2 linked regions of the Nothobranchius furzeri genome follow. The protein of the gene in region 1 purifies or fractionates together with the protein of each later gene. This does not show direct contact. Links are inferred from orthologs where the notes say so. Each region holds a gene or a part of one and is shown on either strand. Other genes may lie near its edges.

Evidence for each region. Proteins that work in one complex are often made in the same cells at the same time.
Region 2: the proteins of polr2c (region 1) and rprd1b purify together in Homo sapiens (affinity purification with mass spectrometry; 3 studies listed by BioGRID and IntAct, counting the BioPlex papers as one, with this or other methods). This does not show direct contact. The link is inferred for Nothobranchius furzeri from reciprocal best matches to the Homo sapiens genes POLR2C and RPRD1B.

What each region holds. Positions count from the first base shown.
Region 1 is NC_091744.1:86,086,325-86,089,198, forward strand, and holds the end of polr2c (DNA-directed RNA polymerase II subunit RPB3), read left to right. Parts: intron 1-1,245; coding exon 1,246-1,374; intron 1,375-1,446; coding exon 1,447-1,498; intron 1,499-1,597; coding exon 1,598-1,766; intron 1,767-1,840; coding exon 1,841-1,915; intron 1,916-2,072; coding exon 2,073-2,217; 3' UTR 2,218-2,361; downstream 2,362-2,874. UniProt on the Homo sapiens protein: Core component of RNA polymerase II (Pol II), a DNA-dependent RNA polymerase which synthesizes mRNA precursors and many functional non-coding RNAs using the four ribonucleoside triphosphates as substrates.
Region 2 is NC_091755.1:32,652,117-32,656,132, forward strand, and holds the start of rprd1b (regulation of nuclear pre-mRNA domain-containing protein 1B), read left to right. Parts: upstream 1-1,213; 5' UTR 1,214-1,868; coding exon 1,869-2,019; intron 2,020-4,016. UniProt on the Homo sapiens protein: Interacts with phosphorylated C-terminal heptapeptide repeat domain (CTD) of the largest RNA polymerase II subunit POLR2A, and participates in dephosphorylation of the CTD by RPAP2. Transcriptional regulator which enhances expression of CCND1.

The sequences.
Region 1 (2,874 bases):
TAGAGCCCTTTAATTGGCAGAATCTGATATTAATTTAGTTCTTACAAAAAATGGGTCCCAACATGGTTTGTGTGGCGTTGCCATAGTGTGACGTCATAGGCACAGATCCCCTGTCCTCTTGTTTGGAAATGGAAATATGATCACCCTACATTAAACAAACTGTCCACCCGGGCTTTTGCGCTGCACAGAGACGCTTCGCTGCCTACGACTGAACGTCAGTTGAGAGTCAGTCTCATGCAGACTGACCAATGAAGAGAGGGCCTCAAGTTAAGACCCTCTCCTCATTGGTCAGTCCACACGAGGTGGGTCAAAGGTTACTCTGGGCGGGTTACGTGTTGTCAGGCATTCAAGTATTGAGTATATTTACTGCATATTACAGTAAAATATTCTGTATGTGACCACATTATGGTGATCCTCGGGTCGTGATGATGGAGCCCTTGAATATTGTTGCCCAGGGTACAACAAAGTGTTAATCTGGCCCTGGTTCCGCCGTCACATTCCCGCAGAAACTGGTTGATCACACCGGGGCCAGACTACTAGCATGTGGTTTTACAACCACAATGTCCTCAGAAGCAAAAGCGCTTTTAAAAGGGAGGGAGGAGTCCTAACTGTTGCTGCAGGCGTGTTGTGTGAGAGTGCAGTTATATACTGGTTAATATATTTTTGGGTTCAGTTGCTTTCATGTGGCCTAATGTGAGTCTATTTGGGATCATTGGAATGATCAGCAGCATTTCTTGATGTGACTTTATGGCAGTTGCCCAGGGCATCATCGCAAGGAGGATGGCATTCATTTACTTTTGCTTTATTTGGTATTTTTTCAGTCATTTTTGGAAATAGTGATCAATTTTGATTAATTCACAGCCAATGTTTAATTACATTTAAAATAAATGTCAACAGATGAGATCAAACAAAACAGATGAGAATTGCCCTTAAGCTGTTTAACTTGGACCAAGCATTTTAGGTCACAGATAGATGTAGCTTAGGGTCTCTGTCTATACACCTTATAAGACAATTTAGGTGATGGCATGTTGTTTTCTAATAATGTTGTGTTAAATAAAGTGAAGGAAGGAGAGAAATAACGTTTCCCTAGCAGTTTTAAAAAATTTCCCCATGTAATCCGATTAATCGATTAATCGTGTCGAGACCCCATCCGATTAATCGATTATCCATATAATCGTTTGTTGCAGCCCTAGTGGTTATTGTTGGTGTCAGCATCATTGTCCCACGTGTCCGCTCCTCCTGCAGGACTGTACCTGTGAAGATTTCTGTCCTGAGTGCTCCGTGGAGCTGACCCTGGATGTTCGGTGCACGGAAGATCAGACGCGTCACGTCACCTCGCGTGACCTGTTGTCCAACAATCCCAGAGTCATCCCGGTGAGTGTGCAGTCTCTGGAGTTGCATCACAGAGCAGAACACAAAGCTTAACGTTCTCTTGTGGGTTTCTAGGTGACTTCTAGGAGCCGAGACAATGATCCAAATGACTACGTTGAGCGAGAGGGCGAGTTTCTCTTTAAAATACTTGTGGAACAATTTCATTGTGTTCTTCCACACTTTGCTTATCTACATTTTCTGTTTGTGTCGTTTACCAACACGACAGACATTTTGTTGGTAAAGCTTCGTAAAGGTCAGGAGCTTCGGCTCAGAGCGTACGCAAAGAAAGGTTTTGGTAAGGAGCACGCCAAGTGGAACCCAACCGCGGGGGTGTCCTTTGAGTACGACCCGGACAACGCACTGAGACACACGGTCTATCCACGACCTGAGGAGTGGTACGTCTTCATTTCACCATAAATCTTGTAAATTATAATGCTGAACAGCAACAGAATGGTGTGTTTTATCTCAGGCCAAAGAGTGAATACTCTGAGATCGAGGAGGATGAAGTTCAGGCTCCCTACGACCCAAACGGAAAGCCAGAAAGGTAAATAAACTTCTATTATAGGATAATTTTAATGATGTTTCCTGTTAAGAAGTTCTGCGTGTTCTTGGTTCAGCTCAGGAATCGTTTTTACTTTAAAAAAAAAACACAAAACTGAGATGTTCTGAAAAGGAAAACTTGGGATTTTTGCTCCATCCAGGTTCTATTTCAACGTGGAGTCGTGCGGTTCTCTTCGACCAGAGACCATCGTCATGTCGGCGTTGGCGGTCCTCAAGAAGAAGCTGAGTGACCTGCAAACGCAGCTGAGCCACGAGATCCAGAGTGACGTTCTCACCATCAACTAACTAAGCAGAACCTGGATTCACACTGGCTAGGGGGGTTCTGAGATTAATACAAAATATTTAGTTGGATTAAGAATAAAACTTCAAACTGTCAGATAATTATTTTTTGTTTAATGACTGTTTTTAAATAAATCCTTTTTAAATGTGTGTCTCTTTACTAGTGTTCGTTTTATTTTGAAGACCAGCTGTTGGAAGTTTGAAGTGACCTGAAGAAACTTTGTGCTTCAAAGATAAAAGAAAAACAAGAAAACTAAATCTCTAGATAATGACAGCAGTATGAAAATCGAGCTATTTGTAATATTCTATTTAATTTGATATTTTTTGTAATTAGAATTTTAATCCTCCAATGAAAACAAAAAATAATGACTTCAGATTATGTTTAATTGTAATTGGTAATCTGATTTGATTGATGGCCACATACTCTGTTAAAAAGGGATTAAATTTATTAAGCCATCTAGATGCAACTGACTAGCGCTTCATCATCATCACAACACCACCCTGCTTCACTGGCTGCCAGTCAACTTCAGGGTTCATTTCAAGATCCTGGTTCTGGTCTATAGGGCCTTACATGGACAAGCACCATCTTACATTGGTGATCTTCTTAGTCCCTACACCCCCAGCAGGTCCCTGAGGTCCAGTGATCAAAGCCTACTGGTTGTG
Region 2 (4,016 bases), on another chromosome or scaffold:
GATTTTTTTGGTTATAACAGAGATCTCACTCCAGATGAAAACTACATTTGTTTTCCATCTAGTTTGCTGCCTATTGAAAAAAAATCTGTACAGGTGCACCATGGTTTGCATTTTGGTTGATATTTGAACCTCAAATGATAATACACATCTTTTGCACTGATATTTGACTGAAGGTCCATGTGTGCAGATCCCAAACCCATTGTTTTGAATGGAATAGTGTGTATTTTATCAGCCACAGTAAAAAGAAGGCAAATGATCATGAAAATTAGTTTGTTTTAACTCAAAGATCTGGGCTAAAATTTGAGTTTTGGTTTCCGTCAGAACAAATGTCTGGTGATTGGTAAGATAAACACACAGTTACTGTTTGTTCAGCTGGGAAACCAAAAGCAGCCGAGGTAAGACAAACAGCAGCTTTGTAAAAAGGTGATGCTGCCATTTAGAAAATTATTTATTAAGATGTACTTAAACTGCAAGAAGAGCATCCAAACTTGGATTACATTTGTCTCTTTCACAAGGCAAGTTATAATAAATGCATGTAGTTCAGTGTATGCTAGATTTGTAGTTTATGTTTTACAGTCATTTTCTTTCATTGTGAGCAACTGACAAATTATTATACACACAAGCTACAAGCGATTATCTAATTATTAATTTTATTTAATGATTTAAAGTGGACTAAAAGACCAAATCTAATGGAATCGTTTGCTTACAGAGTTGCAGGAATTGTGTTTTTACTATTATTTTTCTGACAATGCAAGTCAAGTTTTATTTTTAAAATGTACTAAATTTATTTTAATTTACTAATGTGGCAATTGTAATGACTGCATCATCACACATGAACCTAAAATGTTAACAGAACAATGGTGTAGTTTACGTTAGTTGCCACTTGGGGCGCCAAATCTCAATCTCCCCATTATTCTCAATAGTTAACAGAACAAGAGTGCAGCACCAGCATTATGCCACTAGGAAGCGCCAAATCCCCCATCTCCTTTTCTAAATTGATAACAGAATACTTGTGCAGTGTGCAGTTCCAGCTTTTCGCCACTGGTGGGAAATTAACAGCCCTCCTCCTTCATAAAAAGTCAATTAAAAAGTCCAGACAGCCATTTTGGTAAACACTTTACATGAATACAATTTTAATTATGTTTTAAGCCAAATAAATTGGGTGAGCAAACAAATATAGAATGATTAGAAACGTATTCAACTCTGTAAAAAGAGTTGTGTGTTCATAAGAGTTTGCAATTTTGTGTTTAGAGTATTTTACAGTGTATTTTGCCTTTGTTTTGCCAGTTCGATAATGCGCGGGTTCTGTCACGTCATTTCTCTGCGACGCACATGTCGAGGTGAAAGTGCAAGCTGCCATTTTTCGAGGCATTTTTTTCATGATTTAGGGCGAGAAACTTAGTTTGTGAGTTGTTTTTTAAATTATTTTTTGCTATTGTCTTTTATACATCATCGCTTGGAACACCTCAAAAAGGAATATTGTGGATTTTTGTGTTTGTTTTACGTAGTTAAGAGAAGAGGAGCTCCAGGGCTGCACTGTTCTGCAGATGGCTGCTTAGCTCGCCTAGCTAACGTTAGCAATCGCTGTAAACAAACAGCATTCAACAAAGATTCAGCAGCTACGCTATTGAAGCATCTTCAGCAAGTATTGGTTAGCTCTTTAGTTCCTTAAGTGCTTTCCTACCGTTAGATATATATATCTGTAACCGGCAGTAGAAAGCTGTCCAATGCTGTAAGTCTACGAGTTTAGCGACACAACTTGAGTTTTGATGACTGGGCGAGTTTCTCCAAAATAGCTCGGAGCTCGGTTGCTTTAGAGCCAGTGGGGGTCAGTTTTAGTGGAATTAGACACTCTAGAACCAGTTGGCATGTCGTCCTTTTCGGAATCTGCTTTGGAGAAGAAGCTGTCGGAGCTGAGCAGCTCTCAGCAGAGCGTCCAGACTCTGTCTCTGTGGATCATCCACCACCGCAAACACTCGGCTCTCATCGTCAAAGTCTGGCACCGAGAACTCAAAAAAGGTGAGATATAACAACAGGATCCTTGTCCGATCATAGCCCTGAATGAAGTTAAAGCTGTTGTAGGATGAGCTGGAGTCACATATTTCAAGCAGATTTTAACAAACGTATTAATAAGCAGATGCTTTTCAATTCTTCCAATGTTTACATCAAACATGGAAGAGAAAGCATAGAAAATAACTCCATCCATGCGGTATATTATTCAGGACGTACAAGTAGTATCAGTATCCATGTTTTGTTTTTGAGTAAGCTCTTGATTTACCGGTCGATCTACTTTCCAATCCTCATTTGTGGTCACAAGCTTTTGGTAGTGACCGAAAGAGTGAAGTTGCAGATACAAGCGGCCAAATTTAGTTTTCTCTGCAGAGTGGCTGGGCTCTCCCTAGGTGAGAAGCTCGGTCATCCGGGAGGGGCTTGGAGTAGACCTGCTGCTCCTCCACATCGAGAGGAACCAATTGATGTGGCTCGGGCATCTGGTCAGGATGCCTCCTGGACGCCTCCCTGGTGAGGTTTTCTGGCCACGTCCAACCGGGAAGAGACTCAAAGGAAGACCCAGGACACGTTGGAGGGACTATTGTCTGTCGGCTGGCCAGGGAACGCCCTAGAATTCCCCTGGAAGAGCTGGCCCAAGTGGCTGGGGAGAGGGAATTCTGGGCATTTCTGCTTAGGTTACTGCCCCCACGACCCGTCTCCGGGTACGTGGAAGACAACGGATGGATGAATGAATGTGCATCAGCTGTGAGAGCTGGGTTGCAATGATGATGAGTTAAGAGTCTTGAAATGTCACTTTTAAGTTAGTGACACTATCAATATCAACATCAAATAAATGTATTTTCTTTCATCTTTTTAACTCCTTAACGGCCAGTCATTTTCTGATCAGAAAAGCCCTTCGCTGCCAACGTTTTTCAGCGTTTTCACTGTTTATTTTTTAAGAGTCACAGAACATAGAGCTCTATGATGATGTCAACACCAACACTACCAGAAGAAAGAGTAGACTCACCTCTTACATCAGGAAGAATCCGCGTGTTTCTAGCGTTATCCGTTCTTTCATAATCCGTTGTCGAATTGTGATCGGCAAAAACTTTTCTGGTTCGCTCACTTTTTTTTACAACAGCGGCCCAAAACGATCTCCTATCACATGGGTTTTCTGCTTCCTGATCACGTGACATATAATGTACATGGATGAAGATCGGCTTTAGAGCTGGGATGTTTGTTCTCACGGTGCAGGAACTCGATCCGACGCCCACACAGTAAAAAAATGCAAATGACCACTTTTGTCGTCAGTGGCAGTTAATGAGTCAAATAGTTTCTTCTTGCAGATTCACTGTAACACAGTCATAAACAAGTTGCAGTAAACTAGATGAAGAGAAGTAGTGATGCACCGGCGCCGCTATGAAATTTTAGGGCCGATACCGATATTAAGATCACTGTTATAGCCGACAACCGATATTTGCCGATACCGATATACTGACATAAACTCATTCACTGCCATTGACGACTAAAGTCGTCATTTGCATTTTTTTAGTTTGAGCTTCGGAACGAGCCCCCGTGCTGAGAGAACAAACATCTCAGCCCTGACGCCGATCTTCATCTGCATACGTCACACGTCATGTGATCAGGAAGCAGAACATCCATGTATTAGGAGATCGTTTTGGGCCGTTCCTGTAAAAAAGTGAGGCGCGAACCGGAAAAGCGTCTGCCGATCACAATTCGATAACGGATTATGAAAGAATGGATAACGCTCAAAACACGCGGATTCTTCCTGATGTAAGAGGCGAGTCTACTCTTAGTTTTGGTTGTTTTGGCGTCGACATCATCCTAGCGCACAACGTTCTGTGACTCTTAAAAAAACTGTAAAAACGGTGAGAAACGCTGGCAGCGAAGGCCGTTGGCGATCAGGAAACAGCTGGCAGCGAATGAGTTTATGCTTCTAAAATCAACAGATTTTGTAAAGAATGAAAATTATTAAAGCTGAATTTACGTTATTATGTACACCCCAC